7 separate regions of the Mus musculus genome follow, and all the other regions are reported to be linked to region 1. Evidence: microRNA targets listed by miRTarBase, many of them from high-throughput screens and not tested one by one. Region 1 holds a microRNA gene; each other region holds the end of a gene's coding sequence.

What was found. Region 1 holds the annotated microRNA mmu-miR-290a-5p (ACUCAAACUAUGGGGGCACUUU, at 2,106-2,127, opposite strand). A microRNA usually pairs through its seed, bases 2 to 8, with sites in the 3' UTR of a target mRNA and lowers its output. Matches are read on the target gene's strand: a 7mer-m8 pairs with bases 2 to 8, a 7mer-A1 pairs with bases 2 to 7 and ends in A, and an 8mer does both.
Region 2: miRTarBase lists Kl as a target of mmu-miR-290a-5p. Seed matches in the 3' UTR shown: 7mer-A1 at 1,417-1,423.
Region 3: the mRNA of Mcm5 is a reported target of mmu-miR-290a-5p. Seed matches in the 3' UTR shown: 7mer-m8 at 893-899 and 7mer-A1 at 1,720-1,726.
Region 4: the mRNA of Mtrr is a reported target of mmu-miR-290a-5p. Seed matches in the 3' UTR shown: 7mer-m8 at 1,900-1,906.
Region 5: the mRNA of Hccs is a reported target of mmu-miR-290a-5p. Seed matches in the 3' UTR shown: 7mer-A1 at 1,273-1,279 and 8mer at 1,897-1,904.
Region 6: miRTarBase lists Zfp932 as a target of mmu-miR-290a-5p. Seed matches in the 3' UTR shown: 8mer at 3,156-3,163.
Region 7: the mRNA of Pbxip1 is a reported target of mmu-miR-290a-5p. Seed matches in the 3' UTR shown: 7mer-m8 at 2,224-2,230.

Annotation. Positions count from the first base shown.
Region 1 is chr7:3,216,637-3,220,765 of GRCm38, reverse strand. Mir290a (microRNA 290a) reads right to left here and starts at 2,140; the gene lies at 2,058-2,140. It overlaps Mir290b (microRNA 290b), which reads left to right and starts at 2,071; the gene lies at 2,071-2,128. It overlaps D7Ertd143e (DNA segment, Chr 7, ERATO Doi 143, expressed), which reads right to left and starts at 1,982. Exons shown (of 1, transcript NR_028425.1): 1 at 1-1,982. Mir291a (microRNA 291a) reads right to left here and starts at 1,847; the gene lies at 1,766-1,847. It also overlaps Mir292, Mir292b, Mir291b, Mir293, Mir294 and a transcript of Nlrp12 not described here.
Region 2 is chr5:150,990,882-150,995,010 of GRCm38, reverse strand. Kl (klotho) reads right to left here. Exons shown (of 5, transcript NM_013823.2): 5 at 1,194-3,494. The coding sequence ends at 3,157. Among named protein-coding and RNA genes, the nearest start is that of Kl, 40 kb to the right of the region's middle.
Region 3 is chr8:75,126,594-75,130,722 of GRCm38, forward strand. It overlaps Mcm5 (minichromosome maintenance complex component 5), which reads left to right. Exons shown (of 17, transcript NM_008566.3): 17 at 630-1,846. The coding sequence ends at 731. Among named protein-coding and RNA genes, the nearest start is that of Mcm5, 19 kb to the left of the region's middle.
Region 4 is chr13:68,559,209-68,563,337 of GRCm38, reverse strand. It overlaps Mtrr (5-methyltetrahydrofolate-homocysteine methyltransferase reductase), which reads left to right. Exons shown (of 15, transcript NM_172480.3): 15 at 906-2,558. The coding sequence ends at 1,050. Among named protein-coding and RNA genes, the nearest start is that of Mtrr, 21 kb to the left of the region's middle.
Region 5 is chrX:169,309,614-169,313,742 of GRCm38, reverse strand. It overlaps Hccs (holocytochrome c synthetase), which reads left to right. Exons shown (of 7, transcript NM_001331049.1): 6 at 69-155; 7 at 721-2,213. The coding sequence ends at 919. Among named protein-coding and RNA genes, the nearest start is that of Hccs, 8.7 kb to the left of the region's middle.
Region 6 is chr5:110,009,248-110,013,376 of GRCm38, reverse strand. It overlaps Zfp932 (zinc finger protein 932), which reads right to left. Exons shown (of 4, transcript NM_145563.2): 4 at 2,966-4,129. The coding sequence ends at 3,359. Among named protein-coding and RNA genes, the nearest start is that of Zfp932, 15 kb to the right of the region's middle.
Region 7 is chr3:89,447,799-89,451,927 of GRCm38, forward strand. It overlaps Pbxip1 (pre B cell leukemia transcription factor interacting protein 1), which reads left to right. Exons shown (of 11, transcript NM_146131.2): 10 at 1-467; 11 at 875-3,154. The coding sequence ends at 968. Among named protein-coding and RNA genes, the nearest start is that of Pmvk, 9.3 kb to the right of the region's middle.

The DNA.
Region 1 (4,129 bases):
GCAAGCAAGGAGTCTCTGGTTGATTGAAGTTCCGATGCTTTCTCCACATGGCAACACACAAAAGGGAAGCACTTTCCACTTAAAAGCTTAGATAGGGCCTCCATTTTGAGTATGGCTATATGGAATTTCGCTAGATCCAAACATGCCTACAACTGAACTGAAGATTAAGGATTATTCAATGCCAAAAGGATAAATGCAGCTATATGTAATACAGTACCTGTCAAATCTGGGTCACTTCCCGTGAGGTTCCGTGCACCTCAGCTTTTACTTTTGCCCCATTACAGACTGAATCATACCCACAGATGACACCCAAATGATGCAACACTTAGGCCAACTGCAGTTTCTCAATCGGCAACACTACAAACTCTGCGGCACTTCTTACAAAGAACAAAATGTCACACAGTTTGAGTACCACAGATTGAAGCATTTCCACAGGGACCTGCTGTGGTAATAAACCTGAAACTTTATAGTCAGTTCTTAGCCAGACCAGCCAGCCAGGCAGGTTGAAGGCAAGTAAGTACCCCAGGCTAGGCAGGATTACATTCAACTCAACTGGAACACCTGAAAAACAAAGAGAATCCATGAAGATTATGCTTAGGGCACACAATGTAACACCTGTAATCCCAGCCCTCATGAGCCTGGGCTATTGTAAAGCCAAAAGGTATTATGGGTATTATCTACCCGGCTGTCCACCAAGCTTGTTTGTGCTAGGAGCCAGGTTAAAGTCAGCTACAGCCAGCAGGTCCTAAAAATTCAATCCAACCATATCAAGACTCACAACCATCAGTCCAACTACAGTAGTCAAGCAAGATATAGCAACTACAGTAGTCAAGCAAGATATATAGGATCTTTTAATCCCAGGTGGATGGAGCTGAGGCCAGGCTGGTCTACAAGTGAGTTAGCTCCAGGACAGCCAGGGCTACAGAGAAACCCTGTTTGGAGAAAAAGGAAAAAAATTGAAAGAGGACTTAATATGGCGGCCACGTGAGATTTAAAAGTAGGCCTTTCTTTACTCAGACCTGAGGCTTAGACTCACCACCCCTGGACCTGGAGTGCCTCCTTCCACCCTGCCCTGCTTCCTCCTCACCTCCAGCCTTGCAGCTCGAGTAGCCAGTGGCAACGAATTCACCTCCAGCACACATACCTGTTTCAAGCAGGTAAGCGATTCCAGGTTGCAGCTGCAGCCGGCTTTTCAGACGCCATGTACACACAGAGACAAACAAAATGGATGCACTTTCCCGCCAAGCCGCGGAGAGGGCCTCCACTTTGATCGACACTGTATGTTCCAACTTCCAAGACCTGAGGCTCAGCTCCTCCGAGCGAGGCCCATGTGGGATCCCGGCTCCTTTATGAACGCGGAAAGCCTTTAGTACCGCATGCGCCCAAGTGTTCGGACTCAAACCCACATGTGACACCCACCTGCCCAGAAATGCAACCCCAGTGAAAACATGACCCACTAAAACTTAATTCTTAGTTCTTAGCCGTTTTGAGTTCTCAACCGGTGACACTCAAAACCTGGCGGCACTTTTCTTCCGATGAAAATCCAAAAGAGCCCCCAGTTTGAGTATCACAGGCTGGAGGTCAAGCTTAAGAACAATCTACAATGCACCTGGACTCACGACTGCCTTACATCCATCCGCGTCTCGTGGCACCCAACTGAACCGCCCTCTTTAGGATAGGACCCATTAAACTCCAAGCCTAAACCCCCACACAGGTTGTCCGCTCCTGTAAACCGATGCGTCAGATGCAAAGCTATGATGTTTTCCCCATGCAGTGGCACACAAAGTGGAAGCACTTTCTCATTCAGGCTCAAGAGAGGGCCTCCACTTTGATGGCCGCTACATAGGTGTAACAGCTCCAAGCAGCGACAGGACGCACATGGAGCCCCCAGGTACCCTACAACGACCACCTCAGTTACCGTCTACTGGGCAGGATGCCCATCCCTAGCCTTTCGCTATACTCAGTCTCATTCCTTTCTTCGAATCCGTACTCACCACGCTGCAGTTAACCCGGAACACGTGGCACCAGGGCTGGTAAATGTGCCAGATAGCCGTTTTCTCAACCGGCGGGGCTTAAAACTAGGCGGCACTTTTTAAAGAAAAAAAAAAGTGCCCCCATAGTTTGAGTACCGCAAGATGAGGCGGTCCAGACGTTAAAACATTTACCAGGAGGAAAGAACGTGGAGAACTTAAAATTCACTCCAACCTGAAGGAAACCTGGATGAAATCAAGGAAGAGTTAGTACATCGGTCTAACTCAAGGTATAGTGAAACTCAAAATTTCTACAATGAAACCACGTAGTTAATGAAATGTACTGCATAGACTCCCTAGACCTGCCCTCAGTAACTCCTAGCTTTGGTTTCTGGTCCCCAAACTTCACTCGCGCCCAGACTACTCACTTTCCCCACATAGGCTCGTTCCTCCCTTGAAATTATGTAGACCAAGTCAGAAAAAAAAGCCCAACTCTTTTTCCACACACATTAGTTCTAAATGTCTTCTTTGGAGACCAGACCAACCTCAGATGGGCCTGCCTCTGCCTCGGGATTAGTAAACCCAGCCAAACCGTGGGGGCGAGCGAGGAAGGCTGAGTTCGCGGCTAGCCTGCCTTTTAAAAAAGGGGCTCTAGTTTTTAAAAAGTAGAATGAAGATGGCCGTGATGACCTTTAATCTGGAGGCAGAGAGGCAGGCAGAAATGAGAGTTAAAGGCCAGCCTGGCTAGTCATCTCCAAAGTTGAAGCAGGAAGATCTCTCTTCTGGAAATCCTGGATCTACTTTCGCCTCTCTAAACCAGGTAGATTAAAACCACAGAACTGAAGGAAATAAAAAATCTGAAACTAAAAATATTACCTTTGCCTATGTGAGAAGCAGCACGCCGGAGGTATCCCTGAAGACCGCAGAGACCAGCATTCCCGATGTGGAGTAGAAGTCTCTGAGAGGCGTGGGGGAGGCTCTAGGTTCTTATATAGTCTGAAGGCTCATTGGCCCCCTGGACTGGGAGGCTCTGATACCCCTCCCCCACCCCGGAGAATCCTTACTCTACCACCCTGCTTCCTCTGAGCTGAGTTTCCCTGCGGCAGAGTGACCTTCACTGGTTTCTTCTCCCCCCCACCCCCCAGAGGAAACAGATTTCTTTGTTTGTTTCTAGAAGCAGCGCCTTTAATCCTATAGTTTTCTAGGCCGAGGCTGGAGGATCTTTGTTAGTTCAAGGCCAGCTTGGTCTACTATGGTGACTAGGCACGGGACTAGGCAGGGCTACATTCAGTATTAAGATAATAATAAAAATAAATAAAGGAAGAATGTGGGAGGTTCAGTTTATTCTTTCGTTTGAATTTTTTTTAAATCCAGAGTTTCAAATCCTCCCTCTTTTTTACCTTTCTTTCTTTCTTTCTTTCTTTCTTTCTTTCTTTCTTTCTTTCTTTCTTTCTTTCTTTCTTTCTTTCTTTCTTTCTTTCTTTCTTTCCCACACTGAATATGAAGGTCCAAGAACAATATGATAGAGTTAGTTTTCTCCTATGCTTAAATATGTTTTTTTTGGGGGGGAGGGGGTTCAAGACAGGGTTTCTCTGTGTAGCCCTGGCTGTCCTGGAACTCACTCTGTAGACCAGGCTGGCCTTGAACTCAGAAATCCGCCTGCCTCTGCCTCCCAAATGCTGGGATTAAAGGCGTGTGCCACCATGCCCGGCTGTTTTTCTTTTGTTATTATTATTGTTGTTGTTATTATTATTTATTAAATATCTTTAAATAGCTCCATGGATTGAAATTAGGTCTCCAGGCGGCAGGGCTAAAGCTACAGAGGCATATTGCAGACTTGGAGTTTAGGGTTTGTTTGTTTGTTTGTTTGTTTTTTGGAGACAAGGCTCAAGTACGCCAAGCTGGCCATAAGCTCATTAAATAGCCAAGAATAATTTAGGACTCCTAAGTCTACACCTTGTGTGTGTGTGTGTGTGTGTGTGTGTGTGTGTGTGTGTGTGTAATGGAACATTTTTAAAAAATTAATTTAATTTTTAAAAATGTATTCACCCTACATCCTACTCACTGCCCCCCTCCAGGTCACCTCCTTCTACAATCCTTCCCCCAACCCCAGTCTTCTCCTCTGAGTCGCCCCCCCCCCCCCAGCACTTCCAGTCTGT
Region 2 (4,129 bases), not on the chromosome of region 1:
GGGGCAAGCCTTGAGTCTGGAAAGCCTCATCCTATTCTTGTCCTCTCTCTGTTGCCTGACTGAAGCAGTTGCTGTCACGTTTCACCTGCTTTGATGGACCCTATCTCCTTGAATCTTAAGCTAGAATAAACCTGCCCCACCCCCAAGTTATTTCTGGTCAGGTATTTGATCACAGCTATGAGAAAAGCAACAATCCACATATAGGTCTTTAGAGGATACGTTCCACCAATTGTTTAGCCTAGTTGGGAACTAGATGTGAATTACTCTATAGGTTATAGAGGAACTGTAGAAGGGAGAGGCGGATTGGTTTATCTTGGTGTTGAGGGTCTCCCTGGGAATTTACATATTGGACTCTTAATCTCCAAAGATACATTAATGAGATTTGGTCTCCAGAGATCTTTTGAATTAGATGAGGTCAGGAAGATGGGGTCCCCATGAAGAAGATGGTGGCTCCATAAGGAAGCAAGTGCTGACGAGCTTGCTCTGTCTTGCCATGTGATAATCCCCACCGGCTTGTACAGCAACAGGTCTGGGCCAGATCTTTGACCTAAATAAACTTCCATTCTTTATGAGTTGTCTAGTTGAACGTACTCAGTCATTATAGTAGACAACAAAGGCAACCCCACTAGCCAAAAGCCCCTCCCCCTAGACCCTCTCTGCCTACCCCAGTCCCCGAGTCTGGCACAAGAAGCCCCGCCTCTTCTGTCTAGCCAATGGCTGGAGGTCTCTGAAGTTCTACTGAACATGAAGTTCCCATGATGCTCATTGAGCTGGTGGGCTTCCCGGTGTCTGGTTCTTCTCTTCCTAGCATTTTGCCATTCTCGTACTGTTCTCTTTGGCTTTTTGTCTGTGTTGTTCTCTCGTGTCTCTCAGCTCCTGTGGCCATCTGAACGGCCCTATTGCTCTGGTCACCTTAGCAAATGTGAGAATACTTTGCTACTTAAAAAACAGAGTCTATAGCCCTGGCTGGCCTTGACCTCCCAGTTATACCCCTGTCTCAGCCTTCCATGTACTAGATTATAAGTTCAAACTACCATCCCTACTATTAAAAAAAAATCACTACCAATCCACAGACACATAATTATGGTAGAAGGTAAAGATGCACAAAGATTGGTTATAATGCTTTCTCAAGAAACAGAATTACTTTTCTTTACATTCCCGGAGTAAGAAGAGTAAATGATTCAGCAAGAAAGTTATTTCTAAATGATATTTATTATTGAACTAATTAATGGGAAATTGGACCAACAAATAAAACAGTTTTGAGCTGTTCTGGCAATATTCTCCATAACTATTAAAGTTTTGCTCTTGAAGACTAATGACAGAAAAATTACTTCAGTAAAAATGAATAAGAGTTTGAGGCTAGCCTGGTCTGCAAAGTGAGTTCCAGGACAGCCAGGGCTATACAGAGAAACCCTATCTCAAAAAACCAAAACAAAACAAAACAAAACAAAAAACAAAAACAAAAAAACCCAAGAAGATGTATGCCTACGTATCACATGATCTCAGTATACAAAACACAACACATAGGAACTGTCAGCAGCATCTCTGTATTATATTATAATTTTTTCTTTACATATAGTTTTTGTTTCTTAAATTTTTTACAATTAATATATATTACTCTGCGATCAAGAAAAATAGACATAAAATAAACTATTGATTCTATAGCATTTGATTTCAATAATAAGTCCAGATGTATAAAGAATACCACAGCAAAAGCTGATCATTCACCAGGAAAACCATACCACATTGCAAGATGAAGAATAACAGGGTGATGAGCTATGTGCTGTGACCCTGTGGCAGCAAGGGTAGCCATGCCTGCTATGACGGATTTATCTTGCCTGATCTGGTATCAGGGTTATCAATAAGACCACTCAGGTGTAGCACAGAGACTTCTCCCGTGAGAGTCAGTAAGACTTAGGGTATTAGGTGTAGAAGAAGACCTAATTAGCCTTTCTAGAAGTCAGTAGCATGGTGTAAGAGCTCAAAGAGGGGCTACGTCAAAGCCTCTTCACAGAAGCACACGGTAGATCTCGGCGGCCGCAAGGACAGGTTCCCAGTGTGCTCACACTGTGATTGCTGCCGGATCGACTAAGAAAGTTGAACATCATGGCATCCAAGCACTGACAGCATATTCTGAAGAGGCATTCTTTACAGTTTGACTGAGAGCTCCTCCTTCTTCCTGTGGGAAAGGTCATTGCATTCATTCCAAGGTCTGGTCAAAGATAAAAGGATGTTCAATCAAATCACTCAGTTTCCGCTTCCGAAGAGGCCAACAGCTCATGGCTCATCTTTATTTTTTGTGAATATTTATCAAAAGAATCTTCAACATGGGCTGGTTAAGAGCATGACAGCTCCTCCGGAGGTCATGAGTTCAAATCCCAGAAACCACATGGTGGCTCACAACCTTCGGTAATGAGAAACAAATAAAGAATCTTTGGGCTGGAGCAAGCTGGGTGGAGCGAGGTGGGGCAGAGCAAGAGGGAAAGGGGAAGGGGGCTGGGGAAGAATCTCCAACAAGCAGGCTCTGAAAGGAAAGTTGGTAAGAGAAAGCCCTCAAGGATCTGGGGTTTAGGGCACACCTCAAAAACATTCACAAGAATACAAATGTCCATAATGTGCTTTCTAAGTATATTTGTAAATTGACATTAGCAGCATTTGGTAGGAATAGTGCTTCTTAATGGGCTGCTCTGGACTCAGGGCTCTTGGCCACCTTTACTGGATATTTTTCTACTTCACCTTGTAAAACTGGATCAGGTAAAGTCCAGGTGTTAAGATGGTAATTGAGAGAGTGTTACTCCCCAACAGGAGTGAATTTAAAAATGGCCATGGATAAACAAGTCCCTAAAGTTGTTCTTTAAACTTCTGTCTGCTTGGCACTGTTATCCCTACCGTATTCTATGCCTTCCATTCCGGGGCACTGTAGAAACTGTGGTGAGTATAATTCCGTAATTGCCACCAAAGAGAGCAGATTCAGATACCATTCACCCTGCAATATTTTATTCTCACCAATTCCTGTTTAAAACCTCTACCACCCATGACAAAAAGGGTTTTCTAGAATCGAAATGTGTGGAATGCGGCTCACAACACAGAGAGGTGCAAACGGCTGACGGCGTGTACATCTTGATCCCAAAGCGAATGGCCAGGCAGACGTTCACATTACTTATAACTTCTCTGGCCTTTCTTGGAGTAGTGAAAAATGAGAGCAAGAGAAATAATAAAAGTAAAAACAAGAAACGAGATGAAGACCAGCAAAGACTTCCGGGTTTGAAAAAATCCACATTCGGTGCACACAGTGTATTCTTCTGGACAAAACCTTCCCAGTGTTCCAGAACCCAGGAAGCCATTGCTGTCAATAATTTTCCTGTAATGTTTCATAGATGGTTTGGGCTCAAACTGATTCGCAGCATATCGATAAAAGCCAGACTTGGGAGCTGAGCGATCACTAAGTGAATACGCAAAGTAGCCACAAAGGTTGATGTCGTCCAACACGTAGGCTAGAGAAAAGAAAAGGGCAGGAGAGGGTTGACTGTATACTTTATACACAACTCAGCCTTTTTACACAGCCTTGGCAGATAATGAAAAGCCTGGATACCGTTCAACAATACTTGAGACTCATCAGATTTCACCGGGAAAGATTTCACACCAGAACAAATAGGCAAATGCACAACACACACAGTTAAAATGGCTGTGGGGGCAGCTGCACCATTCACAACAAGTATGAGATGTCAATAGATCAAAGGATAACAAAACTGGACATAAAGAAAGGCACATGTACATGCTGGAATTTTGTTGAAGTGAAGAGTGAAAGGATGCCATTTGCAGGAAAATGGATCCAACTGAGACTCAAGACAAGGATTGTACATTTTCTCTTACGGCTCATATTTACACACACACATGTGAATATTACATGTGTGTGTGCTCGAGTGTGTGCTCACAAGGACATGAAATCAGTAATTATAGAATTATGAGTGCTGAGGAAGAGATCTAAATTGAGGAGATTTGAGAACAAGAGAGGATAAGGTTGAGAAAGGGACAAATGAGAAATGTCCTTATACATACATGCACACATACACACATATACACGTACACACTTATATACATACATATACACATACATACACACATACAC
Region 3 (4,129 bases), not on the chromosome of region 1:
AAACCAATACCCAATTTTCCCATCTCTTAGGTTTTCCCTTGTTTAGATCCTTACATGGTAGGGAGGACCAGAAACAGATGAGTTAGCCTTGCAGCCCATTGGGAAGAGGGCTACTGATAACATGCACAGGAGGTACTGTTTGGGGTACCAGTAGGAGCCTGTGCCCTTTAAAATCATGAGGATAGCCCTGGTTTCTGTTTCTCGTTCCCTTCCCTGTGTATCCTCTCCGTTTGCTCCTGGAAGTAAATTATACAGTAACAGATACTGGCCCTCTATAAGTGAAGAGACTAGTCTTGCCTGAGGCTGGGGCTGGAGAAAGCTTGACTTCTAGGGTCACAGGGACTTAAGTCCTAGCTCACTTAATTGCTATATGACCCAAACAAGTGACAGCCTGTGCCTATTTCTTCCTCTGTAAAATGAGATTATTCCTAATACTAGGTGCATAAAGTCGATATATGTACTTACCTAGTACACAAGAGGCATCATCACATACACACTTTTCTGAAGTCAAGGGAGAATGGAGGTGGATATTTTTTGTCTGTTTAAAATTGTCTATGATCCGGTGATGCATCAGGTCCCTTGGGTCATAATGATATACCTGTGCATCTGTCTTGTGCTCCCTCCTACAGAAATATCCAGAGCACGCTATCCGAAAGGTGCTGCAGCTCATGCTACGCAGGGGTGAGATCCAACACCGTATGCAGCGCAAGGTGCTCTATCGCCTCAAGTGAGCCCATTGCCCATCAACCCTCAAGCCTGAAATGCTGCCACCACCCTATCTCCCAGTCAGTGCTCCAAACCTCCTTTTGCCCTGCCTCTCCACCTCAGACTGCAGTCTGCAGCACATCTGCAGCCCCTGGAAATGTACTTTGGTCTGTTGGCCTCATACTGTGTTTGAGTGTCTGAGGACTCTCTGCTCTGGGTGTCTATCCCCTGTCATGCCTTCTCAACAAGATGAGTCTGGAGCAGGAACAGGCCCTGGAATGTAGATGGGTCTGTATATTGGCTCCCGGGCCACTCACTGCCAAGCTTCTTTGTATGTACAGAGGTAATAAAGCAATTGAGTCCCTGGCTGCTAAGGTCAGTGGACCCAGTATGATAGTAGTGCTGTGTGAATACAAGGTTGACTCTTTCAGCTTTCTTCAGCAGCACCTAATGTGAGAACTGGATCATTCATTGAGTTGTCTGCCTCAGTTTCCTAATCTGCAAACAAATTTGATGAAGCTGAGCTCAGTGAGTGAGTGGCTGTCAGTGAAAACCCAAGTAGACTCCAATGTAGAATGTCTCCAGGGCTTTATTTATAGCAAGTGGGCCTCAGTGGTGTCTGGGGAAGGAACCAGACGTCAGGGTTTATCAGTTAAGGAGCTATGAGTACCTGAGCAAGCTTCAGCACAGTAGGAGGTATTAGTGACAACATTGTTAAAAGAAGACACCCAACACCTCGTATTACCAAAATGCCGAAAATTATGATTTTAGAAATCTATAATTTATAAAATTAAGGAAAAGTCAGTGAAATATTTAAGTATTTGTTATGTAAAGTACATTTATAAATGGGAAGCTAGTGCTGAAAACACTGCAGTCACCAACAGTAAAGTTACTGTAGGAGGAAGGCTTGAGAGAACAGGAAGTACATACACAGGCCTTTCTCGTAGATGGCGTCCTGTGCTGAAATGGCTGTTGCTTGAGGTGTTTGCTTTTTTTTTTTTTTTTTTTTAGTTTTTTGAGACAGGGTTTCTCTGTGTAGCCCTGGCTGCCTGGAACTCACTTTGTAGACCAGGCTGGCCTCGAACTCAGAAATCCGCCTGCCTCTGCCTTCTGAGTACTGGGATTAAAAGTGTGGGCCACCACGCCTGGCTGAAGTGTTTGCTTCTTACTCCCTCCTGGAAATGTGCTTGCTCCTGACGAATGGCCATAGCCATTTCTTTTTGATTGGTCTGCAAACTTGGAACAGAGTGTGCTTGTCTGGAAGGGCAGGCTTGGTAAGAACATTTCATCCTACTTGAGGCCTTGAGGATGCATGGACATGCGGGCCTGCAGGAGTGCTTAGTTGAGTGGAAGATGCCGATATGATACCTCTTTCTTGGTAGGCCCTGGCTGGCAGGCACAGTGTTAAGGGAGACAAGCTTGGCTTGCAGGGAAGTGGGCAGTGCTCGGTGTGCCACAGCACGAGGAAAAATGCCCAGGAAAATATCCAGGAATTAAGGATTGGTTGGTTTCTGAATCTGAACTGGATCCTAACCTTTAATTCTACGAGACACTGGCCTGAGCTGCTGGGGCTAAGTTACTGTAGCCCTGCAAGTATGGCCAAGATGGTCTTAGGACACACTTTCCCCTCTTTTCCTCACCTTCCCATGAGTGTCTCAGATAAGTAGGATTTGAAGCAGTGCTCTGAGGACTCAGCCCTGCTGCTTGCTCTGCTTTCATTGCTTCCCCAGACAGCAACTTGATTTTCACTTTTTTTTTTGCCTTGGCATGCTTGGGCGTCCTGGTGATTCCTGGTCTGGTCCCTTGCCCAAGGTATAGATAGACATTTCACATCCCCTGGTTGGTCTTTCAGCTTAAATATTATTTGTCCTTAGACATATATTCGTGTCACGCAGTGACAGGATTGGTACGGGCCCAAATGGGCTGCAATGGCCTGTTATGTTAGCACCTGAGCTCTGCTGCATCTACCATCACATATTGTCTGACCCAGACTGCACGTGGGAGAGGATTCTACTGAAATGCATGAGGTGTGGAGGATTTCTGGCAAAATTCTAAGCAACTGTTAATGACAAGCTGTTGGGAATCATACACACTGTCACCTTAGCCACCATAGAAGTCATACGTACAGTGAAGATTACAGGCCAGACATGGAAGTTAGCATCCCTGTAACTCCCATATTTAGGAGATGGAAGCAGGAGGATCAGGAGTTCAAGGTTGTCCTCAGTTTCAAAGTGTTCAAGGCTACAACCTGGGCTATAAGAGATTGGTCCTGTTTCAAAAACAATCTACATAAAAATGTGTTAGTGAAAATACTATTTTAGAGGAACATTTACAAGTACCAGAATAAGGCCAATTCTCTTTTTTTGCGGGTGTGTGTGTGTGTGTGTGTGTGTGTGTGTGTGTGTTTCGAGACAGGGTTTTCGTATAGCCCCGGCTGTCCTGGAACTCACTCTGTAGACCAGGCTGGCCTCGAACTCAGAAATCTCCCTGCCTCTGCCTCCCGAGTGCTGGGATTAAAGGCATGCGCCACCACCGCCCAGCCCAATTCTCTTATTTTTAAACTATTTTTTATTTTTATCTTATGCATCTTGGTGTTTTGCCTGCATGTATGTCTGTATGAAGGTGTTAGATCTTTGATTTGCAGGTGTTTGTGAACTCTATGGGTGCTGAGAATTGAACCTGGGTCCCCAGGAAGAGAAGCCAGTGCTTTTAGATGCGGAGCCATCTACCCCATCCCAAAGAAACAACAAAAACAAGGAATTTCAGAAATGCAAAAGATGAGTTTTCTCAGACTGTTGAGGTGGAAGTGGCAGAAGATGCACACTTCACAGGGTAACTTTGTGGTTTTAGATGTAAGTTTTTCACTTCTATTAAGTATGTTATGGTTTTAGATGTAAATCTTTCATATTGTGCGTGGGTGTGTATGTGTTGGTCTTAAATAGCATGCCACATGGGTGGAGCTTAGGAGGCAACTGCATAGAGTCTGTTCTCTCCTTGCATGTTTACATGGGCTCTTGGGAAAACTCAGGTCATCCGATGTGTGTGACAAGCACCTTTACCTGCTGAGGCATACAGATCCGTGTGCTTAAACATGAACACTGGTAGGTTGGTATTTATGAGCCAAGGGTTGCAGCTCAGTGGTTGACTGCTTTCCTGGCATGTGTGAGGCCAGGTTTTCAATCCTGGCACCACAGGAACATGGTATGGTTCAAAGGGTAGTTTTCAGTTAAATCAGTGAGGGTTTTTTCTTCTACTTGAAAGATGAGGCGGTAAGGTAAAGTTCTGGTGTAAGTACATGGGCCCAAACCCAACTGGCCTGGGTTCAGATTGTAACTCAGCTACTTACTGTACCTATCCCAGCCTTAATTTCCTATTAAGAAATAGGGGTGCTGGGTTTGGTGGTGCACGCCTTAAACACCAGCTC
Region 4 (4,129 bases), not on the chromosome of region 1:
GATACCTCCAGACTCTTAAATTCTCCCCTGACATAGCCCCTCCACGTCACTGAGTCTTAAGTTTCCTAGGAGTGGCAGTGGCAAGGTCAGAGATAAAGGCTCAGAGTCACCTCACAAGTCACACGTGGAGTGGGCGGACAGGTGCAGAGACAGTGAAGGAGGGAACCCATCCAAAACTGAGGGGATCTTCCTGAGTGTGGGGCACTCAGCTGAAGAATCGAGTGAGATGAAGGCAGAGAGGACCTGTAGGTTTGCAGAGGGTAGGCCTGTGGGGAGAGATGCTCTGGGTGGGTGAGGAAAAGATGAGGAAGGACACAGATGCTCTGGCTCCTTAGACACCTCTCAAGGGTAAACTGTGGCATCTGAAGGTACTGTCTTACAGTTTCTTCATCCAGATGTCAGGATGTAGAAGGAGACATGAGGTCCACTCCCTGAACTCAGACAGTCTTAACATGGAATTAGCAAGGGGCAGTGACATAGCTGTGTGTGATGCCTCACCTGCCTTCAAGAGCTAAGTTCTGTCCTCAGTGAAGGGACCTGTCACTTCATGTGCATGAAGGTTTGGGACTATGAGAGCATGGGGGTCTACCGTTCGCTTCGAGGGAGAGGGAAGGCAGGGGCTTGTGCTAGAGCCCAGCTCCCTCCAGCAGTAAAACTGAAGACTGTTCAAGGACACTGGAGCCTAGGGGTGGATTGTAAGCCATGGAACCATGTGGTCAGCTCTATTAGAGCGGCCACCATGTGTGAAGGTTTGGCCTGCGGTAAGTGAAGCTGGATGCCTGGAAAACATTCTGAGAAGTGAGGAGAAAACAAAGATTGCGGGATCAGAGAGAATTAGGGATGTGGTTAAGAGGGTTTGGTTAAGGGAAGTTCCTGCTTTATAAAGTGTGCCATTTTGTCTCTAGAGACGCCAAGAATATGGCCAAGGACGTGAACGACACCCTCATAGGAATCATAAGCAATGAAGCTGGTGTTGACAAACTAGAAGCAATGAAGACGCTGGCAACGTTAAAGCAAGAGAAACGATATCTGCAGGACATCTGGTCCTAAACTGGAACAGAGACGCTTGGAATTTGTTTTTGTTTTTGTTTGTTTGTTTGTTTTTTCTTGAAGTGCCAAAGGTCAATTTTACAGAAGATGAGTTTAAAAATGTTTGGACATTTCTTGGAGGTGGCTGTGTGGGGAACGGCTTGCTTACAGGTACAGCAGGTACAACCGCCTGACAGTCTCACAGGTTGTATCCCACTCCTTACCTGTGGCCCCACCCAGCACATCACTACGTGGAGGGGAAAGAGGCAGCTCCCACCTGGCACCCATTGCACATAGGCTCCCCAGGAGGACAGATCATCATCCACGGCTCACCTGTGCCTGGGCACATCTTGGAGAGCTTGTGGACATACTATCTTTCAATGAAGTATATTCAAAGGATATTTATATTGGTGATATTTAAATTAACACAGACATGCAAAGCATTCTTTTGCATGTCTTTATTTAATTGTGGTTTTATTATCAAAATTATATTTCTGATAAAATATTTTAATTTTGAGGTAATCCTTACAAAATGAAGGTTTTCATGCAACTAGAAATATATTTTGAAATATATTTGATATAGTACTCTGCCATTTTCATCATGTTAACTTTCAGTGTCACCATCTTACAGCTTAGGGGCATTTGCATTCCCCTGACAAAGGTATCATGTGTACAGCTCAGTAGTGTGCCCTGTCCTTCTCATGGACTCCATTCATGTCTGCTCCTCACTAACAGACTTGGGTTTTCCCAATACCTGACTATACTTTTGTGATTCAGTTCAGCTTAAAGAACGCCAGTTAGGCCGGGCGTGGTGGCGCACGTCTTTAATCCCAGCACTTGGGAGGCAGGCAGAGATAGGCGGATTTCTGAGTTTGAGGCCAGCCTGGTCTACAGAGTGAGTTCGAGGACAACCAGGGCTACACAGAGAAACCCTGTCTCGAAAACCAAAAACAAAAAAAAAGAACTCCAGTTAAGACTTCTAATACCAAATTCTCTTGCAAGTTATGAAAATAAAGTATATAAAAGGATCCTGTGCTATTGTGTGCGTGGTTGCTGAGACAAAAACTGGGACAAAGCAACTTACAGAGGGTATTTTAGCTCAGTTCAGGTGTGGGGTCCACAGTGCTGAGGAAATCATAGTGGCAGAAGGAGGAGGTGACTGGTTACATCCCGTCCAGTCAGGAAGGAAAAGAAAAGGAAAAGTGCCTCGCTGGCTTCCTCCTTTTCACACACTCCAATACTTTAATGCATGGAACAGGTCTGCCTATGTGTAGTGTGGGTGTCCACTTCAGCCTAGTGTAGAGGACCTCTCGAAGACATGCCCAGGGGTTTTTTTCCAGTGAGGTTGTAGACCCTGCAAACCTAACTGTAACATAGCCTTCACAAGCATGATAAACCCTCCCTGTTGTGTATAGTAACGGTCTCATTTTATAGTCCACCTTTAAAACACATCTCTACCTGGTGAAAAGTCATCACAAGACTCCTAGGTCATTATAAGAATTAAAGATTTGAAAGAGTAATATAATATCAAGCTTGGTGAGGCTTTGTGGCTTTTTGTTCTACTCTTCCCATCTTGCATATTCTCTCCTCACTATTACATGTATTATGTGCAATAAATAAGATAGGGGTTAGGAAAACACTCAAATCCCGACATTTGTAAGTTGTATGCATCAGCCACAGTAGACTGGAGCAACACATGGACAAAGAACAGTGTTCCTCAGTTACAAGTGCCGACCTGCCCCTGCCCTCTTGACACATGACCACAGACAACAGATCCAAAAGGCAATACTAGTGGCTGTTGAGAACAATCAAGACTAGGTTTCTGACAGGACATCCATGCTTTCGATTTGGGCTCCTATCACAGTTGGTGATAATGAAATGCAGTCACTCCGATCCTTATTAAAACTATGAATAGTGAGGGATGAAATTTCCATCAACCTGCTGTGTGAGCACAAGGAAACTCCAAACTGGCTGGAGACAACCCACCTGTAAGAAGTTTGTTCCCGTGTGAGAGCCTTCTGGAGTTGGGATTGGGCTGTTTGTATGAACCTGTATGAGTCTGTAGACAGTGCTATTGTAAAGGTCAGCAGTCAGCACATCCCCAGGTCTTGCTAGATTGTCTTAGCTTTTGTTTAGGTAGGGGTAAGGCATGCAGTAAACTGTTGGATGCAGCTTCCACTTTTCAGCTATCACTGGCGTTGGTGAGGGACCTTTCTAACCTGTTACTCCTGCAATCTCAGCTCAAACTGGGTCCAGTGCATCCTGGAGACTCGTTGAGCTCTGTGCTGACACCAGCACAGGCTTTGGTGTTTGTTTACACTGTATTCAAGAGGTTTATTGTGGCTCTTGTAACAGAGACTGAATGGAAAGAGCCTTAAGCTTCTGGTGATACTCCAGTCTCAGCCTCCCTAGCAATGGGATGGCAGGTATGTGCCACCAAATCTGGCCTAGTTTTCAGTCTTTATATAAAACGTAATCATCAAAAGCAATTCAAGTGGCAGATTGTTCACCAGGCATCCCAGATTACTGCTGAGAGTCATGAAAAGGCTACATCAGGCAGACCAAAACAAGTCACATTTAGCTGGGGTAAAAGAAGGTGCCTCAAAGGGAAAAATCCTACCAGAGATATTTTCCCTAGAATTTATGAATCAGTGAGCGAGAACATGACTTCTTAATATGTGTGCAGTTAGTAAAGTTTCACAATAGTTAAAGCAAACGTTCACAGCTAGAAGCATGCAAGATGTCAACACATATTCCACAAATGCATAAAAGAAATTAGAAAAATGATCTTAAATTAATGTTCTTATATTAAAATGAAATTTTAGATGAATATACATTCTGTGAAAAATGCAACATACCAAAACATAAGAAAATGATAGGACCCTGTGAGCCATCGTGTGTTTGCTGGGAATTGAACTCAGGACCTCTGGAAGAGCAGCCAGTGCTCTTAACCACTGAGGCACCTCTCCAGCCCCCACATTATTTCTGATCAGAGTCAAACTGTAATTGAACTGTAGGGCATTGTTTTGGTGAGAGCAATTTTGAAATTTTTTTGTTAAAGTTGAGTCATATTCAGTGAAACATTCCTCGAGCTAAGGAC
Region 5 (4,129 bases), not on the chromosome of region 1:
CAAAAATATCATCCTATCAAATGAAAGAAAATGTTTTTAATAGACTATTCTTATTTGGGCATTTTCAGTGAGTGTCCTTGTGGCCCATCGTTGGTCCGATTTGGAGGTAAAGCAAGAGAGTATTCACCAAGAGCAAGAATTCGTTCCTGGATGGGGTAAGTGTCAGTGTAGAACTGCTGTTGATATTCCTTAAGCCATGGTTAGCATTCCTATCACCTAAAACAGTGTAGGAAAAGCAATTCCATCTTCCACATCTCCAGTATCCAGCCTATGTTTCTTTCATATCCTTGAGTTTACTCATAGATGGGCAGAATTATAAAGGTTGGGTTGCTGGTTTCATGCTTCACTCTGGAAGGATTGAATTGTTCTTTTTTTTTGGTGTCTTCAGAACTGTCTTTTTACTCCTCTTGTGCTCTTTGTCTTGCCTTACTCCTCCCTTGTCTTATAGTGTAATAGGACTATTAAGTACATTTGATTTCTCCAGCTTTCTACCTAGCCTGGCCTGGCCCTCTTTACCATGAACCTATTCCTTTATAGACATGGATTCATCATAGTTCTTAATCACCATATTCTCTAAACACCATGGACTGATTGACTAAGGCTCATCTCCTCTGCTAGATATTTGCAAATGAGTATGTGCTGTTTTTCACTCTGTCTTTCTGCTACCACCAAGACAGACAGAATACAGACCTGCATTTTAGCAAACTGTTTTCATTACAGGTATGAATTGCCTTTTGACCGCCATGACTGGATCATCAATCGTTGTGGCACAGAAGTTAGATATGTGATTGATTACTATGATGGTGGTGAGGTGAACAAGGAGTACCAGTTCACTATCCTGGATGTGCGTCCTGCCTTTGATTCATTCTCTGCAGTATGGGACAGAATGAAGGTTGCTTGGTGGCGCTGGACTTCGTAACTGTTATTTTGTTTGTTATGAAAAAAGTGAAACTTTTTTCCTGAGAAAGCTGTTAAAACTATTTTCCCCAAACTAAATGCACTCATAATGTCATTGAGGGTACTTTTCGAGTGAGTGATCATATTTGATCTTGTATTTAACAAAGATGCCATGCTCCTTTAAATTTTGAATCACATTTTCCATTGCAGATGATAGGTCAGTTTAATTTTTTTCCCTATTTGGTATAAGTTCCTTAGTTTTCCCACTAAGTCCAGTATTTCATGTTATTTTCTTTAGACATCTTAACAATCTCTGAAAAAGAGGTTTTAAAAGCATAAAAAGTTGTTTTTATTCTTACTGTTTCCTCAGGAGTATTTGAGATATAAAACCTGAAAGTGTGTGATGCTTTTACCTGCCAAATAATTTAACTATATTCATTATAAATAAGAAGCACTTGTTCTTGTTTTAAAAGTAACTAATATTTCTAAAATCCCTTTGGTCTGAACAAAATATACAAGTATATACCGAATGAAGTCTGCAAGACTGATATGTCTATGTTTAAATGTGATTTCAGATTTGACCCTGATAGAAATTTCAACTTGATACATAAAAATTTCAAAATACTTGTTTTTTCAATTCTGTCCCAATATGTAACTATCAATGAAAAGCTGATCACACCATCCCTAGAAGATGACAAATTATCTTATCTCATCCCATTCCCTCTTCCTACTTGGAGCTTGCCACCAGTCGTGTAATGTAAACCTTGAGAGCCGGGCTCCAATCACAGTGCCAGAAGTGTTTCTTTGACGAATAAGATTATATTTGGCTAAGTGTTAGAATTCACAAGAAGTGCATTTTTTTTCAGATATGAAATGTTTGCACCAATTCACCATCATTTTGATGTTTTAAGCATGTGCTGAGTTTGCTGTTGAAAACTGGTTGTTTTGCTGGGCAGTAGTAGCACAAGCCTTTAACCCCAGCATTCCATAGATCTCTGAGTTTGAGACTAGCCTGGTCTACAGAGTGAGTTCCATGACAGCCAGAAAAATCCTCTCTCTAAAAAAACAAAAGAAAAAGAAAAGAAAACTGGTTGTTTTTATTTTAATTATAGCAACACCTTAGAAATAGCTTTTTCTTAAATGTTGATAATATGAAAAATATTTAATTTATCTTAAATACTGTAACATTTAGTGGACAGAATTTGTGTTTTTGAGTTATTTGACGTAGATTTCTTTGTTGTATGATGCTTTAAAAATCTAACATGTGAAAATATTTGTATTTTTTAAATAAAGCTGACAGTTAAAAGGTTCTGAAACTTCTTAGAGTGATTTTTGTAGTTACTTAATTTTTGAGATAAAAATTTATCTTTACTAAATGCAGCAGTGGTCTCATCTGTTAATCACATAATTTTAAACTGCATAAGAATGTAATCTCTTTTGGCCCTTCTCAGGTCACAACTGGATTAGGACTGGAAAGTAAATTAAAGTGTATAGTGACAGGGTATTGTGAAAGTCAACTGTCGTATAAACTCAATTATTAAGATCAACAATTTTTCCTATGCCCTTTCACCACTTCTAGAAAAGATACCTGCTGAGTACTGAGTTGCTTTGTGGCTAGGTTACTGAGTACTCAGGATTGCTTCGTGGCTCGATTCTACTTCAGTCTGCCTAGGGAGTAAAACTTCACTGCTCTGATGGCTTTTATATAAGTTGAAATGCATTCTGGATCACCTCCCACATTTTAAACTTAAGTTTTATCTGTGGAGATGACGTCATTCAGAATCAGTTTTGGCAGTAAAGGTATGTGCAAACTGAGTTACATGTTAGCTCTTAGTATTTCTCTGAACTCATTAGCTGTCATTTGTGAGATGCTGATGTTCACTTTGCATCATACTCAGGACAGAAGATGGCCAACGATCATCCCCTGCCTACAGAAACACAACCTTTCAGAGCTCAGTCCGTAAACAAAATTACAGTACTGTAGAATTCATATTTTAAAAACTCTAAGGTAATGATGGGGGGTAGGGATACATATAAGTACATTTCAATATAACTACTGTGATTAGTCAGGTTGACAGGATTCAAATGACATGGGAAGTGGAACTTGGTGTGCCTGTGGGGGACGATCTTGATTACTTTTAACTGAGGTGGGACTATTCAGCCACCTTGGGCTGCACCATTCATATCCTGTACTACATAATTGAAGAAAGTGAGCTGAACACTGGAAACCAAGTATGCACCTCTCTGTTTCTGGACTGTGGGCATAAGGTAACTGGCTGCTTCAGGCTCTTACTGCTTTGACTTCCCCACCAGGATGAATGGCCTTGAACTGTGAGCCAAAACCCTTTCTCAAGTTGCTTTATCAGGCTATTTTATCACAACAGGAAAGGAAACCGACATTTGCCAATATTTTTGGTCCCTGATATGTTCACCCTCTAGTGGAGTTATTGCTCCCCATTGAAAGTGAAGTGCTCTGTATTTATTTCCTTTCTTGTCCTTGTCATGACTGTCAAGCCATGTTCAATCATTGCTATTGCTAAAGGTTTGAGGCGCTTTGTGATTAAGAGGGCATACCCTGAAGACTGGTGGTTTGTTCCAGTTTTTGCTTTACTTGCTCAGTGACATTTTTCTTCTGGGCCTCTGATTTCATGGTTGTAAAATGAGAAAATGAGCAGACAGTTGGTTTACAAGTTCTGTGAAGTGATCTGTGTGCTTTTGGGGCAGACTCCTGGGTAGAAAAAGCTTAACAGCCATCCACACGGTTGACAGTGGCCGTCACAGAGAGATTGTGAAGCAAGGCTAGAAGTCAGAAGTGCTGAGACATTCCACAGGACGAGTCTGGAAAGATCAGGAGGTTCTTCTGATTTGTGTCAATTTTAAGTATTACTGGGTACTCAAAGTATTACAATAGATGCTAAGCAACCTCATGTTATCTTTAAAAAGGCTAAGGGGAATAAAGGATGCGTAGACATAAATTGATAGTTAATATGCAAGTCCTACCTGACAAAGGTAATTAAGTGCCTGGATTTCCTAATCTAAAACATTAAGCAGTGCACGACACAGAAACCAGCTTCATAAATAGAATTTAGGTAAAGCCCATTAGCCATCAAGAATGTTGTCATGAAGCTGGCAACAACTGGAGAGGGGATCAGAAATTCAAGTTCTTTCACCGCTCTCCAGGGTTTTCTTAAACATTCTTGCTATAAAAATGGACTGAAATTAAAGATGGTAT
Region 6 (4,129 bases), not on the chromosome of region 1:
ATATTTATTATTATTCATTAGTACACTGTAGCTGTCTTCAGATGCACCAGAATAGGGTGTCAGATCTCATTATGGTTGGTTGTGAGCCACCATGTGGTTGCTGGGATTTGAACTCAGGACCTTCCGAAGAGCAGTTAGTGCTCTTAACTGCTGAGCCATCTTGCCAGCCCATGTAAACACATTTTAAAAGTAAAAGATTTAAAATAAAAATTGTTTCTGAGTGAGTCTTTCCAGCACATTTTCAGTAGCCTATTCCCAATATTATCAGTCCTCGGACTGGAGGATAGGATGTGCAAACTTGCCCATTTACACATATTTTGTATGACTGCCCTCCCACACAAAAGGGAATACTGTGATCTGTATTTTAGGTGCTAATTAAAGCATCTAGGTAACATACCATCTTCTTCAAACAGGCATAGAGCCTTTTACCATCTCAAATAAATTTCACCTACCTTTTAGGGAGGGGAGAGAAGAGTTCTACCTTTTTTGGTCAAGGGTTTTGCATTTTTATTCTTTTCTATTATTATTAAAGATTTATTTATTATGTACAGTGTTCTGCTTGCATGCCAGAAGAGGGCACCAAGATCACAGTACAGGTAGTTGTGAACCACCATGTGGTTGCTGGGATTTGAACTCAGGACTTCTGGAAGCGCAGTCAGTGCATTCAACCTCTGAGCCATCACTCCAGCCCACTTTTCATTTTAAGGATCTATTTATTTTATATATGTGAGTAGACTGTAGCTGTCTTTAGACACACCAGGAGAGGGCATCATATTCCATTACAGATGGTTGCTGGGGATTGAACTCAGGACCTTGGAAGAACAGTCAGTGTTTCTAATCTCTGATCCATCTCTCCAGTGCATATTTATTCTTAAGATAATTTCCCAAACCACACGGTGGTGGCACATGCCTTTAATCCCAGAACTTGGGAGGCAGAGGCAGGTGGATTTCTGAGTTTGAGGCCAGCCTGGTCTACAAAGTGAGTTCCAGGACAGCCAGGGCTGCACAGAGAAACCCTGTCTCAAAAAGAACCAAAATAATAATAATAATAATAATAATAATAATAATAATAATAATAATAATAATTTCCCAGTAACACTATATCTATAATTTAGTTAATTGCTTATTTAATTTCTGATAATGAACAAATTTGTAGTAGGTCAAGATGACTAGAAGGAAAAAAAATCATCATTGCACTTGATAACATTTATCATTAGCAGACTGTTAACTGTGAATGTATGCATGTGAAAGCTGTTCTCTTTAATTTCCTGATACAAAATTAATTGCTGAGCACACTCCAGAGAAATAACACTTTTTAATTTAATGTTTGCTAGTGCACATTTCATGAAATAACATAATGAAAAAATAGTTTCAATGTATAATGTGCTTCTTTGGAGTTAGATGGTCAATAAGTGATATTGAGCAGCCACAACAATGTAGTGGAGTTAAACTACACTCACTGCATGTAGAACGTAACAGCACAGACAGAACCCAGATTCAACCTCCTTACACTAGATATCAGTTTAGATGTTTTACATATTCAATACAATGTTGACTCTAAGAAAACACATTGAATAATTAGGAAATCTTGATCTCTGCATGTGCATTGAAGACCAGAATTCATTACCTGCTCATCAGGCAACATTACCAAGGAGAAACAGTGCAAGACCTCAGAGACCAATCATGGTTCATGCTTTGCATGATGTAAACACAGGAGGGAAACCTTTAATGAAAACCCACAAGACTTTTCTTTCCCTGCCCATCACTAACATAGCTAAAGGCACTCTGGTCATTATGTGTTCTTCCTATGAACCTTCCAAATTGTGAAGAAGCTTGGAATTAAACATTTCAAAATAGTCACATACAGTGATCTTTCTGGAATTGCTTCAAGGTATCAGCAGCAGATACCATGTTCTGATGCTCTTTGGACATGGATGATGGCCTAGAAAGTACATCACATGAATGTTAAACACAGAGTATTCTATTAAATGAGTGTTTGGGTTTAAATAAACACTAGTGCTTAAATAAAATAAACACTATGTGAAGCTAGTAGGAAGCATCTTGGAACCCTCTCTTACACCTCCTAATACAATGCAGTTGGTCCTCTCTGGCAAACGATCATTGAATCTGTTAGAGCATCTCCTGGAGTCCTTGTCTGGCTTGAGAAGGCCTTTACTGTGCTTTAAGCTCTAGTCCCTCTTGGTCATTCTGGTGCCTCTTAATTGTCTCAAGTGAAACAGGCTGCTTTGTAACTAATGCCTAGGCTTACTCCATGTCCCTATAGTAGTGCACTTCCAGGAGCTAACAGAAATGGAGGCATGACTGTACTCTCTAGGTCTACTCCTCAACATTGTCATCACCTTGGCAATTCCCCAAGATTAGACAGTTATTTTCTAGCTCAGGGTTCCACATCCATGGATTTCTGTTTGAAAAACCTAAGCATGACATATACACGTTTAATCTGAGCCTTAAAGAGGTAGAGGTAGGAGGATTTTTAATTCAAGACAACTCAGGAATATATGTGAGATTCTATCTTAATACATCACTGTCCTCATGGGGGAAAAATGCAAAGGAAAAGGAGATGTAGACTATAGATGAGGATAAATAGAAGAGGAGAAGGAAAAAGAGACTATTTAAAACATGTTACTTATCAAACATGCAGAGAACTATCTACTTGTCAGTTTCTCTCCAGTGCGGTATCTTTTTTTTAAAGATTTATTTATTATTATTCATAAGTACACACCATAGCTAACTTCAGATACACCAGAAGAGGGTGTCAGATCTCATTACGGGTGGTTGTAAGCCACCATGTGGTTGCTGGGATTTGAACTCAGGACCTTCTGTAAAACAGTCAGTGCTCTTACCTGCTGAGTCTTACCTGCTCTTACCAGCCCCAGTGTGTTATCTTTTATGCTGTCTGTCTTAATTTGGGTTTATTGCTGTGAAAAGATACCATGACCAAGGCAACTCTTATAAAGGACATTTAATTGGGTCCAGATTCAGAGGTTCAGTCTATTATCATCAAGGCGAAAAGAATGGCAGTGTCCAAGCAGACATGGTGCTGGAGGAGACAAGAGTTCTACATCTTGATCAGAAGCCAGAAGACTCTTCTGCCCTGTGTGGATCTCAAGGTCCAAGCATATAGTGACAGACTTTCTCAAACACCACATCTATGCCAGAAAGGCCACACTCCCTACTACTGCCACTTGTCATGGGCCAAGTATATTTAGTCCACCACACCTTTCAAGATCACTGTAAGGCTTTACCACATTGGTTATATTCATAGGGTTACTCTTTAGTATGCGTTCTTTTATGCATTCGAGGATGACAATGGTATGAAAAGGCTTTACCACATTGATCACATTTGTAAGGTTTCTCTCCCAGTATGAACTCTTTCATGTCTTTTAAGATCACTTGAACCTACAAAGGCTTTACCACATTGATCACATTTGTAGGGTTTCTCTCCAGTATGTATTCTTTTATGTACTTGGAAATAACTTTGATTTGCAAAGGCTTTGCCACATTGCTCACATTCATAGGGCTTCTCTCCAGTATGTGTTCTTTGATGTACTTGGAGTGTACTATGATATGCAAGGGCTTTACCACATTGATTACATTTGTAAGGTTTCTCTCCAGTATGTGTTATTTTATGCACTTTGAGATGACTGTGTCGTGCAAAGGCTTTACCACATTCATTACATTTGTAAGGTTTCTCTCCAGTATGTGTTTTTTTATGAACTTGTAAATAACTTTCATATACAAAGGCTTTATTACATTGATCACACTTGTAAGGCTTCTCTCCAGTATGAATTCTTTCATGTTTTTGAAGTTTATTATGAGAGGCAAAGGATTTAGTACATTGCTTACATTCATAAGGTTTCTCTCCAGTATGAATTCTTTCATGTTTTTGAAGTTTATCATGAGAGGCAAAGGATTTAGTACATTGCTTACATTTGTAAGGTTTCTCTCCAATATGAATTCTTTCATGTTTTTGAAATTTATCATGAGAGGCAAAGGCTTTACCACACTGATCACATTTGTAAGGTTTCTCTCCAGTATGAATTCTTTCATGTTTTTGAAGTTGACCATGAGAGGCAAAGGATTTAGTACACTGCTTACATTCATAAGG
Region 7 (4,129 bases), not on the chromosome of region 1:
CCTAGGAAAGATGGGAACTCCCATTCTGTAGAAAGGCAGAAGCATTCTTGGGGGAAAGACAACAGCCCTGACGCCCTGTCCTCCTGGGAGGAGCTGCTGAGGCGCAAGTACCGACCCCCTCAGGGCTGTTCAGGTGTGGCCGACTGTGCCCGGCAGGAGGGCCTGGCCCTCTTTGGTGTGGAGCTGGCCCCTGTGCGGCAGCAGGAGCTGGCCTCTGTGCTGAGAGAATACTTGTCTCGGCTGCCCTGGGCCGGGCAGCTGACCAAACAGCTGCCCCTCTCACCTGCTTACTTTGGAGAAGATGGCATCTTCAGGCATGACCGGCTTCGCTTCAGAGATTTTGTGGATGCCTTGGAGGACAGCCTGGAGGAGGTGGCACTGAAACAGACAGGCGACGATGATGAAGTGGATGACTTTGAGGACTTTGTCTTCGGCCACTTCTTTGGGGACAAGGCCCTGAAGAAGAGGTGGGAATTGGGGATGGGCGTGGGAGAGAGTAGCCGAGGGATTTGAAGGCGTTGGGCCCTGAATGAAGAGGTCTGTAGCTTGAGTCTCTCTCTTCATTTCTGATCCCCTGGCCTTACAAAAAGAAGGCTTCTGGGTACACATCCTATCTTCCCATGAGGGGCTGCAGTGGTCCTGAGGGGTCCCCCTTTGAGCCAGGACCCCCTCCCCACCTTGCCTGTACATAGAGGGCCCCTTGTCTCCCCCAATGGATTCATCCTGGAGCCCAGGTTCCTCCCTTGCTTGGTGGCAGTCACCTGAGCTGGCCTCCACCAGAAGAACAGGGCTCCTTCTCCTTAGGGTCTTATCTCAGTATGTGGCATTGTTTCCTAAAGGCCATTTCCTGCTTCCTTCCCTGTCTCCCCCATAGGTCACGAAAGAAGGAGAAGCACTCCTGGAACCCCAGAGTTGTGGGGCCCAGGGAAGAGCACAGCCGCCATCCGCACCACTACCACCAAGGCTGAGCCCTGTCCTGCTGCAACAGCCGGCCTTGGCATGCACCCAGCTCAAGATGCCTGGAGTTATGTGACCCTAGCAGCTATGCTCCCACTGTCCAGCGGGCCCCTCCTGGCTCGTTGGTGCCCTTGAATGACCTTCACAGAAGAGAGCAACGCACTTGGCCCTGCACTGGTACCACTTTTGCTAAAAAAAAAAAAAAAAAAGAAGAAGAAGAAAAAAAAAAAGGCCATAGTTGGCGCTGCTGAACTGTCTAAGCAGACATATGCAAAGATAAAGGCCCTGGGTACTAAGTGACATGTAGGGGCCTGCTGGGAGCCTGCTGGGGAGGACTCTTATTCTGAAGTCAGAGAGCTGTCATTTTTTTGTGGCTATCCTGGGTCCACAGCAGAGCCTATCACCCTGTGCTAGAGCTGCTGGTTAGAGACTTAGCTCCAGACTTGCCTTGGGGTTTAGCTAGCTGTGGAGACAGCTATCCCTAAGCCTGAGGAGTCCTCACCATGCCTCTTGCGGCTTTCACCTCCCCACCTGAGCTGTCCCACCATGGCGGGGCTCTGTCACTTGAGGTGGTCCCTAAATGCAAGGAACACCTTGCAGTCACCACGCTGGTGTTTAGGCACAATCTAGGCACTGCACTCGGCCTTCCCATCCATTCCCCATGTGCGCCCACCTTCCCCAAGGAGCCTAGCCTTGAGTCCAGCCACCAATTGTCTCACAGTCCAGGTGGGGTGGCCTCAAGCCAGGTCATTCTCCGCAGTGTGGTGTGGTGTTCTTATCCTCAGAAAGAGAGCTGAAGGGAATGGAGTCAGTGAAGCAAGGAAGCAGACATTCTGTTTCTGCCACACAAGAATCGATCCCTTTTTTGGAGCGTGCTGTGGAGGACAGGGAACACGCTAACCTGGGTCTGCAGAGGTGAGGGAGCCACTAGGTGGCGCTCTGGCTTCACATTTCTCTAGACTTCTCCCTCCTGCCCCTGGTCACCACCCCACACCCCAGACACCCTACCCATTGACTAGCTCTCAAGAATTCCCAGAATCCCCCTGGTTATTCTTCAGGAACGCCCCGCCCCCTCAGTTCAAACCTCTACGCCATTGGTAGCACACTGGGCTTCTAGCTCTGGAACTCTCCCAGGGACTCTAGGGGGCAGTGACCACACAGGTCAGGTCAATTAAGGAGGGGATTAAGGACTGTAAGCTTACTGGGCAATGGTGATGCACGCCTTTAATCCCAGCCCTTGGGAGGCAGAGGCAGGCTGATTTCTGAGTTTGAGGCCAGCCTGATCTACAAAGTGAGTTCCAGGATAGCCAGGGAAACAAAACAGGACTGTAGGCTCTAGAAAGTGCTGGAATCGATTTTGAATTATTTAGCAATGCTTTTATGTCACTGTTAAAAGGCTTTTAAGTGCAGTGGCTTGTTTAATTTCCGTGCTAGACAAGACAGGTAGAAAGGGTGGCTCATTCCACAAATGTTTAAACAGTCTGCTGTGTGGTGCTGGAGGGATGGCTCAGCCGCTGAGGGCACAGGCTGCTCTTCCAGAAGCCCCAGGTTTGATTCCCAGCACCCACATGGTAGCTCACAAATGTCTGCAACTTCAGTCTCCAGGGATCTGATGTTCTCTTCTGGCCCTGTAGGCACCAGGCACACACACACACGGTACACAAACATACACGCAAAAACAAAAAAAGATCACCCATCACCACATTTCTTGAAAATAAAAGTCTATTGTGTATGAGAACCAGGTAGTGAGGCCCTAGGCCTGTAGACCCTTTAATATGCATGGAATCTGCAGCAGCAGGAGCTCTGGTTAGACTTAAGGCACATTACCTTACACAGGTCAGTGTTGTAGGCTGGGGGCTCCAGGAAGGAGCCGTCTGGTTTAGAAAGACAATTATATTCCCTGTCTCTCTGGACCAGTGTCCCTCAGAAGGAAGGCAGGTTTAACCCTGCTTTTGCTGCTCACTCAAGGGTCCTCAGAGATCGATCTGTTTATACAGATGTGGTGACCTTGGTGGCTGGGTGAAAGCTCAAGGCCGGAGGCAGGTAGGCTGGCATGTTGGGGTGCTGGGTCTGGAGATGGGGATTCACAGGCCTGCCTTGGTTTCCTAGATGGTGTTGGTACAGGGCTCTCTGGCCTCTGGTTTCCATGTCAAGAGCTCATGTTGGATAATAAATTTTGGAGTCTCAGAGTTCCTCTAGCCTGGTTCTTCTCTTCTCACACCCTCAGGGCTTTATCAGTGGAACTGCATCTGCAACTACCAAGCTAGGAAGGACAGGAGAGCCATTAACCCAAGGGGCATGCTGGGGAGGGCCAGGGAACCAGGTACATTGGGGCCCCATGGGGGAAGGGCCTCATACCCACCATGGCCTTGAGGTCCCTCTCTCTCTCACTCGCACAACCTATAGTGACACTGAAGAGTGACCACAGGCGCTCCTCTGACGGTGGGGCCAGTGCGTGGGATGGAGTGTGAGAAGGGCTGGAGGCAGTGCCCTGTGGTTGCTTGAGGGCTGGAGGACAGCACCGCAGGGCAAAGTGATTCTAGGAGCAGAGATGCTTGTTGCTGCGCTGGGCCCTGCTGGCTCTTTAGGGTCTGTGCTGGGACTCGTCTAGTTGAAGCTCGTGGTGTTTGCGGTGACTTTCCATCCTTTCTCTGGGGGCTGCTGCCCTCAGAGTGTCCCTGGGAGCTTTGTGAGGGTGTCGCTGGAGTGGAGGGTAGTCAGGCCTTACCTCTCTTCCTCTCAGATATCGATATCTCCTCCTCCTCCTCCACCCCTTCTCTTATTCTCCTGCCTCCCTTCTCTCACCCATACCTCTCTCCTGTCCTGTTTCTTTTTCCCTCCCCTTCTCTTTAGCGTCAGACCCAGGACGCCCTGTGTGGCAGGCAAAGGTTTTACTGCCAGCGGCACCTCTTACCATTTTTGTTTGGAGACAGGATATTACTGTATATCCCTGCCTGACCTCAGACTTTCAATCCTCCTGCCTCTGGGGCCCGAGAGGCTGGGACTACAGTCCTGTACCGCCACACCCTTTGCAGGGCCTTCTACGTTTAAGTGGAAAACATCATTCTGTTAGCCAGTCCCCAAAACTGCTTTCCCGGGGGCCATAGCCTGTTACTTCTCCCTTCAGATTCTGCTTCTCATCTGTTCTCACTGCCTTTCCAGGCTCCCCACA